Arabidopsis thaliana: one gene and its partner. The protein of the gene in region 2 interacts with the protein of the main gene of each other region in a pairwise test. Each region holds a gene or a part of one and is shown on either strand. Other genes may lie near its edges.

Region 1 (7,016 bases), 1.2 Mb from region 2:
AACAGATACCTTTCTTAAGTGAACCAAAGGTAACTAACTGAACCTGAACAATGCTGCAAACATGGTATTTACGGTCCCGAGGTTTGACAAGTCAATTTCCATATCCATTCCATCAGCATCGAGTGCCTAATATCATGAAACAACTCTTATTGAAGCTGTAAGAATGCATAGAGTAGCTGATAATGGACACTAAGCATACTCATTTGAGGCAACATAAGGTGTGAAACAACTCTATTCCTATTGACACTTATGAAGACCAATAAGAAACAAGTATCAATCACCTCAAATCCTGCATTGTCATAGTGCCTTCTCTTTTCAGGATCAGACAAAATGCTATACGAAAATGCAACTTCCTTGAAAAGCTCAGAAGCATCAGGATTGTTCGCATTCTTATCCGGATGATACCTATCCACAATAATGTATAGGCATTAGTATACAATAGATTCTTCACATATCAATCTCACTGGAAACAAAAATTGACATGGCTAACGAGTTCAAATAGGAACAATTCCAGATTTTTCAATATAACAAACCAGAAACCCTAAGAAATTGGATTGAAGACGATGAAATTGAAGCAAAATCAGTTTTGATATCGTTATAATCGGAAAATTTTGGCTTACTTGAGAGCTAATTTTCTGTAAGCGGATTTGATTTCTTGATCATTAGCGTCCTTTGATACACAAAGGACCTCGTACGGATCCCGTCGATTCGCCGGAGCCGACGAACCTTCAAGCTTTTTCGCGCTCATCTTCTCGAAGAATTTGAAATCACAAATGTTCAAATTCGAAGGGGAATTTGCAGATCCAACAGCGGCGGACCTAGAATAACGCGATTTCAGGTATCTTCAATCGAGAAATTGAACGAATTTGAAACCTCGGAAAAGAAACGATGAAGAAAGGAGGATCTAAAAAGCTCACAAAATAAGAGAGATTGGGGAAGAAGAAGATCGAGGAAAAAAAACGAAACAAGGGTTTCCGAAAAAATAAAAGGTACTATTAAATTTATTTTATTCGTTTTGGACAAACTAACTCGTTGATTTTTCATATTTAATTCGATGACTTTTTAAGGAAATCGAAAATTACTGATTTTTTTGTGGCCATTACGAAGTTTTATTATAAGAGTGATTATATTATTATTGATATTATTTTAATAATATCATTTGTGATATGGTAAGTCAAAAATTGAATTTTTGTAGAAAATGAATTGGAATTATGTTTTGGGTCACATAAATATATGTAAAATTGAATTTGAATGAATAAAAAAAAAAAAAAAAAAAAACTAAATATAGCAAAATGGAATAATCAATATGTAAATGGGGAAAAAATCAACAATTGTATAGAAAATTTTGCCATTGGTGGTGGTGCTTCTCATTAGGTTCTTGCTTTTTGTGCTATCTTTTTAGGTGTTTCTCATACTAGAACATGCTTGATTAAGATAAAATCTTCACATTTCTGTTACTAATAGTGTTTCTCTTGTCGAACATTTACGACTTTTGGCTTGAGAAGGTCTTGTTTATATGTGGTTTAGCCTTTGTTTCTGTTTCTACAACTTGATAAATTGCGTTTTGAGTGTTGCCCAAAAATGGATGTGTATTGAGCTGCTTAATTAAGATCTTCTTCACATTTCTTGGTGGTAGTAGTGTTTTCAAGTGTTTCTTTGGTTAAACATTTGTGGCTTAGTTTCTATCTCGCTTAAGAAGATGGGAGAAGGAGATTAAATATCTGACATGACTTTATTCTTCTTTGAGTATTCAGGTGTCTAGGCAAAACTTTTAGTCCTATTAGTAGCAATTTGTTCTTTTTTTTCTTTTCCTATTTTTCTCTTCTATAAGTTCTTACCATATGAGTATACATTGTCTGCAGAGTTAGGTGCTAATATGAATGGATACCTTCTCATAAATGCTAATGGAGGACTAAACCAAATGAGATTGGGGGGTCAGGCTTTTGTGTTTTCTCAATGTTTCTCAAGTTATCTTCTGTTTATAACTTGATGACAGGCTAGTTCCTAACTTTATCAAGGACTTTGATTAATCTCACATCCCTAGTACTGAAAGTAACTTGTTAAGCACACACTGTATATTTCACTTACTTAAAGAAGATTTGGTAGTTAAACCGATTGCATCTTTGTTTTTGGACGAAGGGGGAAGAGAGTGATCAGAAATACATGACGATAGATGCTAACCGGAGTAACTCATCCAAAGCAGTCGACGAAAACTTGCGAGCAAAGAGAAAGCAAAGTCTCATCTTATTTTCTCCATTTTTCTTACAATCACCAACACTCTTCATCCTTAGCCACTCCAAGAACTCCACATTAACCTCCCACTCACCAAACAATCTCGGGTGAGCCCTACGCTTGCTCCAGTCAGTCCAAGTAAGCGTCCTATTCGCGTTACGCAACCCAAGGCTCGGCCTCATGTTGAGTAGCGTCGGGATATAGTGCTCGTCGGGGCAGCGAGAGTAAGCTTTAAAGATTGGCCAGTAGAACGTATCAGAGACTACCTCGAGGGCCATGGCTCGGTCTAGCTCGAACCACTGAGAGCCTTTTCGCCATTGGTGCATGCGGATGTGAGGATACATGCGGCGGTCATAGCGGACGCGACCGATTGTGAGGTCGTAGGAGTCGACGTGGGTTAGAGTGGAGTCGATGAGGAAAGAGTAAACTGTGGAGAAGTTGAAGAGAGGGATGCATGATTCGGAGAGAAGAATGAAACGTTCGTTGTTGATGTCTAATAAAGCGTTTGCTAATAACCTTCGTTCTGCTTCTACCATGTTTGCGTTTCCCCAATCCACTCTCTGCATACGTTTATAGTTAATGACATTGGATTGATTTTATTTTATGTATTATAGTGTAATAATTAATATGTTTTCTTTTAAGATACCAAATATTCTTATATTTTTATGTAATTTACTAAAAAAGATAGGAAAAATATCGTATTCATGTACTTCGATCCGTTATATATATATATATATATATATATATATTATTTATAATATATTTATAAATTTTATTTATCACGTTAATTCCAAACCTATTAATGTATCGAAATAAATTTCTTAATAATTTGGGAAGCTGACCTTGCTTGGAATACGGCGGCCATAAAACACAGAGTCTTGCGGCATGAACTCGTCGTAAGACGAATTGGTGTGAACGTAGATAGTGAAAAGACCTTCATGACCTCGAAAGAACCTTTCCCATAGAGGAGCCAAAGGTAAAGGTCCCCAAGTCAAGAACATGAAAGCAACCTTCGGGATTCTAGGATAAGGGTAATCCCTGATCTTAGGATCCATTGAAGCTCTCCACAGAAGTTCATTATCTTCCATATCGTGCATGATGTTCTTCAGTGGTATCAGAAACATGTCAAGCCCATTGTCCTGAAATGAAGGAGAAAGAATAGGAGGAGGAGGGGTTACAAAGAAGAGTTGGGAGACACTTTGGATGGTTAACGAAGAAGGCGAAGATAATCCTTGTAGAGAGGGATAAACAATGATTCCAACTATCACGCCGATCCAGAGGATGAAGAAATACAAAAGGAGATTGTGGAAATGGTGGAGTAGTTTCTTGAGAAGCTCTATCACTTGAGATAATGGTGAGTTTTGGTCCTTTTGGGTCGGCATTTCCAACTACCGATACATGTGTAAGAGAATTCTTGTTTCCAATGTTTTAAGGGTTAAAAAGAGATACATGGATCTTACTTCCTAGTTGGAATGAGGTTAAAAAGTGGAGAAGAGCAAGTAAAAGTGGAGATCTTGTGGCGTGAGTGATTAACTCGTAAAAACAAAAATACACACGCAATGGAATATAACATTTTGAGGCAGTTTTTTGATGATCCAAGCAAAGTCAATTGGGTTATATACGTAGCATCTTATTACTACTCTTTCACTAGCATTAATTCTTTAAACTAAAATTACAAATTTCCTTACATCAATATTAATTTACTTTTTTAAAAAGATTGATAGGAGTAGACTAACCAATCTTTGTCTTTGAATGAACTATTTCGCTATATGTCCATGCAATATATATTTTTTTAAGTTCGTTTTCCCAAAATCATATTTCTTTGTTATAAGTGGATATAATATTGATGGTGGTTTAAATGTTTTACTTGTAGTTTCGCTATATACTTTTTTTTATCTCTTGGTCGCATGTTTAAGTTTATTGCTTTTACTTATTAATATACCTTATACCTATATGATTTATCATTCTTTCGTTTTTGCTCATAAGTTTATTGCATACCTTGTCAATAATATACATTATTTTCTGGTAATCGTTCACAAGACATCCTTGAAACCTCCACGTTTACATTGCTTAACGCTTGCAACAATTTCATTGTATATATAAAAAAAAAGATCGTAATGAAAACAATATGAAGCTTATATATATATATATATATAGCACTACAAGTTAAACCTAATTTGTTTTTTTTTATAACTACCGGAGTGACTTTATCTACAAGAATGAAAATGACGCAGCCATAAAAGCAGGATCGTGTAGATTGCTATTAAAAACCTAAGTGAACAAAGATGTGAATTTCATTTACTCGATGTTTATAGTATGCAATAGACATGGTACCAACTCTTACAGATAATATATTCAACCGCGTAGACATTAAATCAAGAGGTAAACTGGAGAAACAATTACATACGTGGGAAATAATTTTTTTTATCGAACGGCGACCTACATGCTTTGTCTAATAGTCTTTACCAGTTGAGCTATTGAAATTGGTTTCGTATGTTTTCTCTTAGACGAAATATCTCTTTTTGTATTTTTTTATTTATTTATCAAATGAAAGTGACAAACATTATTTGCTTAAAGCTTTTGTTAGAAAATTAATCTCATGTAACTCAGATATAGGATTTTTTCATGGTTTATCTTTTACTTCTTACAAAACTGTAGATCCATGGATGCAAAAAAAAAAAAATGATCCATGAGACTATGTGAGTGAAAAGGATTTAACCTATGTAATTAAATTGAAGATTTTATATATTATGTATTTTCTACTTAAGTAATAGATTTTCGAGGGACAGTTATATCAGGCCATTCATACAAAGCCATTAGAGTATTCAAACATTAACTATATACACAGAATATAATTATAGTTGATATGAAACTAAGTTGAAGTCAACCTTGCGAATTCTAAACTGAAAGAATATTACTTTTTTGTTTGGTTCAAATAAAAGAAAATTACTTGTTGCACTATATAAATATTGATAAATAAATTGATTGGTCAAATTTACGTGTAGTTGCACATTGTTGAAAGCTGTAGGGTGAAGAGACAATAATTGTGCAAACAAGTGGCATCAACCCTGGGAATGTCATGACGTAGTGTAGGAAAAATGCATTCCATTCCATTTGGGTTACAGAACCGTCATGTTAGACGAGACTCATGCATGGTAATGATGGCTGAGTTAAAAACAACAACAAATATGTGATCATTTGGGTTCACTAGTGATACGAGAATATGCGTTTTCCATCACGGCTGCTTCCGAGAACTTTACAACAACATATATGTGATCATTTTGCTAGCTATGATACAAATTCTAGAGTGTAAAAAATAAACAAACAATAGTATCATGTATAGCTAACAAAATGATCCACAAGGTGAAAGTAGGCTAGTAACAGTGGTATTTTCTAAAATTTGAAATTTTATTGTTATTCCGAGAACTTCACAACATAACGTATGAGCCCATGGCTGGCCAAATGAAGTAATGGTTTGGAACCCATTTTATGATTTTTTTTTTTTTGTAAATATATAAATAGCTATGGTATATTTAAACAAATATGGTTAGAAGAAAAGTAACAACTACGTTTTTAATGTCGATTTTATAATATATATATATATATATATGTATAGTTATTATTTTCTTAAAACAGATATAAATTAAATTTAAATAATTATATCTATATTAAAGGGCTCTTATTTTTTTTTTGAGAATATTACACTGTAAAACACTTTTTAAAAAACATTTCCGTGGTTAGACACTTTCTAAAAAGAAGGCACTTTGAATGTATAATTTGACCAATTTACCCTCTAACCATATATCGCTTTATCTCTCTCATCCACCTATTCTTTCAAAAAATAAACAAAACTCAAGCCAAAAAAATATATTTATACCTTTTTCTTTCTTTCCTTTTCAACAAATCATCAGCTTTTATGAGAAAGAGAGATTGAGATTCACCTTCTTTAATTTTTCGCGTGTGCTTTGATCTGACTTGAAGGAAAAAAATTTCAGACCATCAATTTGAGAATCTGTCCTATCTGGCTGATTTAGTTACATGACTCGTTGAATGCTTGAATTGGATTTACAGTTTGGTTTTCGTTTTATGTTTTTGCTGTTTGTTGCAAAATTAATCTCATTACTTGCTCTTTGATTCTTTGTCTTGCTTTTCCAATTTCATATTCGAGATTATTCTCTTGAATTGGAGATTAAAGCCTCGTAGTGGACTTCGAATCGTTTGATAGTAATGGTCGAATCACTAGTTGATGGAACTCGTTGCTTAGTTCATGTTCTGTGAATTTGATTCATGATTATATTTGGGTTGTATCTTTTCAGAAAATCTGGTTATTTTATGTGTTCATCATAAACGGTTTATAAGTTTTTTGATGGTTGATTCACTTAGTGAAGAACCTTGTTGCTAGTTCTCGTTATGTGAAATTGATAGAGGTTTTAGCTTAGATCTGAAATTAATTTTCATTCACATATGTTAGATTGAATTCTACATTTGTGTTTAAGATATAGATGTTAAAAATTTGGTGCAAAATCGAGAAGATTATCTTAACACAGTTAAATGAACAGACCTCAGTGGACAACAATTTCTGGACAACGATTTCTGGACACGTTCTTCTTTACCTTTTTATCTCAAAATCCAATCGAGAAGATCATCTTAACAGAGTTAAATGAACAAACCTATGTGGACAACAACTTCTCGACACGTTCTTCCCTTGAATTTGTGATCATTTATGTTATATTTTGAGATGTTTTGTATATAAAATCAAACTTGGACTTGTATTTTAAAACTTC
Region 2 (6,414 bases):
TCTTCCTCCGCCGCATCGCCGCCGCGGATTCTCTCGTTCTGGTCAAAATCAAAGCTTCTTTTAGAACCAGAGTATCTTCTTGTTTTAGCAGCAGAGTTGCTTCTACTTAGCTTCCCACATTGTATCAATATAGCATCAACTTCTTCTTTAGTACAGCTAGAGATTCTCACAAGCGGTGTAGAATTCGATTTCTCAGCCGCCACAGGAGAAGAAACTGGAGAATCTTTATCTGATTCTGTCTTCTTGGATCTCTCTTCATGGCTTCTTGTGTGTTTTATCACCACAACTTCTTCTTCTTCTTCTTCTTGATTCAGTTTCTCAGATTTGGGTTTTGCTTCTTCCTCCAAAGGCTCAATCACTGGTTCCATGGGTTTGATTGGATCTGAGGGTTTAACACTAGAGGGAAGAGAAGGGGAAGGTTTCTTGCTGAGACAGCAACCCATTTTGTGACAAAGAATTTTGAAGAACAGAGAGATTTTGAAGTAGAAGTGAGTCAAGAACAAGAGAGTTTTTAGGGGAATGTCTTTTGTGTAAGAAGACAAAAAGATTCAAAACTTCAAACTTTTTTGTTTGGTAATGCGATTTGTGACAGACAAAAGTTCTTTTATTTCAGAAAGTATTCGGATAGGACCCATTACTTTCTAAAATTAAGAAAAGTCGGGTGAAATTGTAAGCTTTGAAGAATAATGGGGTCAAAGTGGAATTAATTTATTTTATTAAAGATAGTAATTTTGAAATTGGAGCCGTTATACACACTGCAGTCAATGTCGTATTATCTCTGACCCTTTTTGCCTTTTTCAAAGCAAAATGGTTCTCTTCAAAAATTCTTTTAATAAGTTTTAGAATTCCAACGGTTATTTGCATGTTTGATGGTTTTGTTTGTTTACCAAAAGAATATGAGGTTACAAATTAGGATATGAAGAAATAAACATCAGTAGTTTCTATTGAAAATAAAATTTCGTTTTATGTATAAATAATTTACTGAGTTTGATTAATGATATTTGTTGTTAATCGAGTGCTTTCATTAATATTAACTCATGTGACCAAACTGAATGGTGATGTGCAAGTTTCTTCATATGTATAGTGGAGGACCCAAAAACAATTTTATTTTATTTTATCAGATAACTAAAATACTGAAAAAGAAACGATAAACAATTTCTTTTGAGGTAGTTTTTTTGAATATATATGTAGTTTTTTAAGAAAAGAGTACCAAGACAATTAGGTTCTTTTGAGGTAGTTTTTTAAGAAAAGAGTATATATGTAGAAAGCAAAATCTTGCACCATTTGTGTTGACAATCGAAAATCGGACCGATTTTGAGACATCTATAGATTCTATTACCAAGACAATTAGGTACTGGATTTTACATACATAAAACAACCTCAAATCAAATAGTAACATAACAAAGGATTGTTACAAGGCAAATAACTACTAGACTAGAGAGAATAAGGCACTTAATTGTTCCTCTGCATCCAAGACATCAACCTTTAAGCTATATACATACACAACGATGACCATTAGCAATAGAAACTAGAGACTCTCAATGCTTTGAAAGCTATGCAAATCAGAAATTAGTATCAATGAGAATCATCCACATATCCTGCGACCTACTTAAAAGGGTCTACCTACTAGGTAGTCAGAAATATAACAAGAAACAGAACAGAAACTAGACACTGCCTAAAGTTCACAATGCTTGAAAGCTATTAAACCACAAAATGGGGCAATAAGAACCATATATACAGATGACCATAAGCAATAGAACCTAGACACTCTCAATGCTCTGAAAGCTATGCAAAACTCAGATTGGGGTCAACCAGAGTCATCCCCATATCCTGCTACCTACTTAAAAAGTCTAGCTACTAGCTAGTCAGTAAGATTACAAGAAACGGAACCGAAACTAGACACTACCTTAAGTATGCAATGCTTGAAAGCTATTAAACAACAAAATGGGGCAATGAGAACCATACACACATATGACCATAAGCAATAGAAAACTAGACACTCCCAATGCTTGAAGGCTGTTCAAAACACAGATTGGTTAACGAGAATCAGACACATATCCTGCGACCTACTTAGGTTCTAGCTAATCAGTGCTTGAAAGAATGAAAGCTATTAAACCACAAAATGGGGCTATGAGAACCATACACATATCCTGCGACCAAGTTAGGTTCTAGCAAGTCAGAAAGAAAACAAGAAACAGACTTCTCGAGTCACGACCTTGGTTCCTTTGATGATCAATCCATTTAAGTATTAAGCTCCTAAACTAGTCACATTGGTATCAAAGATAATGAATAAATCCATAGGTAACATCATAATCACACTTATATATATCTAAGAAACATCAACTACAAATCGTAAAAACACTGATACTTAGAGTATAGTAAGTTTAGATAAATCCATAACAGAGACGAATTTACTTGTACGCAACAACATAGATAAGCAACAACGTAAATCATGATAATATGCAGAAACTGAAATTCACAACCTCAAATCAAGCAGCTTCCTTCACAGGAGCAGGAGCTGGAGCTGGAATCTTAACATAACCCAATTTCTTCAAGCTAGCAGCATCAGATTCATCATTCTCATAATCATCTTCTTCTTCCTCAAAATCATAGCTTTGACGATTCACAACAAGAGCCCAAACAAGATACATAGTAGCAGCGGTTAAAGCACCACAACCAACACCGAACAAAAGCGCGACGACGACGCTAAGAATATCTCTGGTTCGATCTCTAAACGAATTGATGTTATCAGAGATCAAAGGGAGGGAACGATCCGATTGGATCTGTGGCTTCTCGTGACGACGATTGACGAAGAAAGGAACCACGTGGTGAGGATTTAGACGACGGATTGTGAAAACGGTGACGAATCGTGTGGAGGTGAAATCGGATTCGAGGTTAGGGTTTTCTGGGGTTATTGAGAGGGAATATGAGGAGATTAGGAAGGTTTTGCAAGGACGTGCGGTGGTGATGGTGGTGATTGAGAGGAAAGCTACGACGGCGATCGCAAATCGGAGGTACGATGATGACGTCATTGTTATCGTCTTTGACTTCTTCTTCTTCTTCTGACGATTTTGAAGACAAACCTAACCCAAGAAGATTCGGTGAACGAAGAAGATTAAAAAGATTTTCTAAGATACGTGTTATTATGAAATAACCCCTCTACTTTTGTATTTGATCATATAGGTCCCTTTTATCTTCTTTTCTTATAAAAGGTGCCAAAATATTATTTAATTTTGACTTAACTATTTTAAGTCTAAATCTCATTATTTATACTCACATAAGCAAACAATAGATTTATTTCTCTATTTATCTAATTTTCAATAGGTTAATTGTTAATTGATATGAATTTTGTCCAAGTTATACAAGTTCTAATACCACAAATAGTTTGTGTAATATGTGAATAGTCTGAACCCACCTCGCATATAATCAAACTTCTAGTAGTTATAAATTCATAAGATTTTTGTTATTCTAAGCAAGTTAATGATGCATTCATGGTCAATATCAAGTTAACCATTTGTTTATTAATATAGTATAGTCAAACTTTCACATTTTATATTTATTAGTCAATATTAATAGCTAAGATTTTTTTACCTAATTATTATGGTTAGAGAATCTAAATGAAAATTCTATCTAGTCACTCATAGTCTCGTACCATAGAATAAGAGCACGACACTTTCGAATATTCCAACTTTTCTCTTATTTAAAATAATCCTCTCCTTTCTTGTAAACAAAGAGCTAGGTTAGACTTAAATTTAGCAGCGGTCACAGAGCGATAAAGGAAAAAAATGACGATCTCAAATGCCACGACATGACATGATAGAATCTTTGAGGCCAGCCATGAGCCCATGAGGATCATCCTTCGTGGCAAAGCCAGCTCACGTTTAGAGTCTTTAACAATGTAGTGAGAGAACATAAAAATGAAAATGTCAAATCGGTGTAAACGTTTGGACACATAGTTTTTATTTTTTTTGGTCTTTCCACATAAATAATTTGGTACTATTGAAAAGCGATAGAAATATTTTTTTTTTGGGAAAATTGTGGTAGAAAAAGTAAAATTCCCTTGTAATCTTTAATTATAAAAAATATTGGTTAATAGTTAAGTACTCCGAAATTAAAAGTAATTTGAAGAACAACTCACTATATAAACGACTATTGTTCTGAAATCAAATGTTCAAACAATATTTACGTGTATTTTCATTTTAATATTTTAATTCTTTTCAAAAAAACACATTTGCAACTAAAACTTAATTCTGTTAAGATTAATACAATCTACGACCCGTCATAATTGGCTCGTTTAACACGTAAACATGTCATAATCTAAATTCCAAAATCCATTTACGTATCAATTTAATTAACTCTAAATCCACACCAAAGAAAAAACTCAGATTTTACACTGTGTATACACACCACACCATAGTCCACGTGCACGTAGGTTAATTATTTATAAAAAAAACACATTTGACTTATAAATATAGAAATATTAAAACAGATTCGCTTCTCTCTCTCACTCACACAATAGAGAGAATCATTCAGTTACAAGAAAATCGTCCTCTTCTCTCGCCGATCTCTTCTCTTCAGATCCTCTCCTCTATAAAATCTCTCCCTCTCTCGTTCCCCTCCTCAGATCTGACTCAAATCAAATCAAAAACTCTCAGCTATGGAAGTCGAACGATCGAAGAAAGACGACGATCTAAACAATGGATCTAAATCCAACGAAGAAGAAGAAATCTCCGTGGAGAGAATCTTCGAAGAGAGTAACGAAATCCCACCGCCGTGGCAAAAACAGCTCACGTTCAGAGCTCTAATCGTGAGTTTCATACTCGCGATTCTCTTTACCTTTGTGGTGATGAAACTGAATCTAACGACTGGGATTATTCCGTCGCTGAATATCTCCGCCGGTTTGCTTGGTTTCTTCTTTGTTAAAAGTTGGACTAAGATTCTTAATAAAGCTGGTTTTCTTAAACAACCGTTTACACGGCAAGAGAATACTGTGATTCAGACTTGTGTCGTCGCCTCCTCCGGCATCGCCTTTAGCGGTACGTTTTTTTGTTTGTTGATGTGAACGCGTCGATGGAATTTGGTGTCGCCGTCTTTAATTTTGTTTCTATTTACGGCTAAAACTTTTTTGCTGTTAGGTCTCTATTGAAAATGACAGAGTATATACTTCTTTTTTGTGTTTATCGCTTTCTAAAAAAAAATATGAAAATTAAATAAACTATATAGTTGTTTAAAAAATATAATATGTGCAATAGTTAAAAAATTAAAACCGATCAAGTTAAAACCTAGACTAGGAAACTAATATCACACGATCTTTTTTGATAAAAATAAATGTGTATGGGTTTGATACTTCTTTGCAGTATGTCAAAATCAAGTGGATACTTCATACTTTCTTTAGTATGTCAAAATCAAAGTTGATTAGTGAGTGACGTGAGAGATTCATATCCGAGAGCAATGTGTATGACTTTTTTTTTTGTTATAAAATAAGAACCATATCTACACGGCAAGTTGATAGAGAACATGACGCGTGAGATTCGTATTTAGGTCTAAGTCAATGATGTTTTAGCATATGATTAGTTGATTACGGCACTTAATTAGGAGCTTCAACTTTTTATTTATAGTAGACTAGAATTAGCTGTTATTTTTCTGGATACTTACGTTAGAGATTATATTAACAAAAAAAAAAAAAAACTAATCCACTATCGTTTGACTTCTTACTTTGCATGGGATAAGATTGGTAAACTAAAGTGAGAATCACAATTTTTTAGAGGATAATTATGACTTTCATATTTTTAATTAAATGGTGTTGTCTTGAGAATTTAATATTTGGAACTATTTTCGAGATTTGAAACAGACATCACCACTCATCGTGTACACATACTTAATGCATGGAGAGATTGAAATTCCAAGGAAACCACTATTTTTGATTCTCACGTGATTCGTTATGACGTCAATTTTATTTTAATAAGAGTTGACTTGCTATGCCCACCATGTGTGTCAAATGGGAACCTATTTGGCACATGACCTTTAATTTCATACTATTATATAGGAACTTTAGTTTGTGGTATACGTTATGATTAGATTTTGGCTTGGTTTTTAATTTAAAGAAATCAATTCACATCTAACATGTTCACAAGATTTAATACCTACCTTAACAATATTTTGTGTTTGCTAACCATAACTAATTTTATAGTTACATGAATGAAATTTGTTTCCAATATGTTTGGTTCTCTCTTGGTGTATTTACGACCATAGTTTGGCTTAAAGATTGTGTGTTTGTGTTTGAACAGGTGGGTTTGGTAGTTATCTGTTTGGAATGAGTGATGTTGTTGCTAAACAATCTGCGGAAGCCAATACTCCGTTGAACATAAAGAATCCACATTTGGGTTGGATGATAGGATTTCTCTTTGTCGTTAG

Evidence for each region. The genes of interacting proteins can lie anywhere in the genome.
Region 1: the proteins of AT1G65720 (region 2) and AT1G68380 interact in a protein complementation assay, tested with the Arabidopsis thaliana proteins (one large-scale study listed by BioGRID).

The regions. Positions count from the first base shown.
Region 1 is NC_003070.9:25,633,780-25,640,795, forward strand, and holds AT1G68380 (Core-2/I-branching beta-1,6-N-acetylglucosaminyltransferase family protein), read right to left. Parts: upstream 3,684-7,016; 5' UTR 3,615-3,683; coding exon 3,075-3,614; intron 2,793-3,074; coding exon 2,154-2,792; 3' UTR 2,059-2,153; downstream 1-2,058. Other genes in the region: ARG1 (Chaperone DnaJ-domain superfamily protein), read right to left, coding at 44-126, 282-405, 621-748.
Region 2 is NC_003070.9:24,437,982-24,444,395, forward strand, and holds AT1G65720 (uncharacterized protein), read right to left. Parts: upstream 3,093-6,414; 5' UTR 3,033-3,092; coding exon 2,490-3,032; 3' UTR 1,671-2,489; downstream 1-1,670. Other genes in the region: AT1G65710 (serine/arginine repetitive matrix-like protein), read right to left, coding at 1-443; YSL7 (YELLOW STRIPE like 7), read left to right, coding at 4,658-5,036, 6,288-6,414.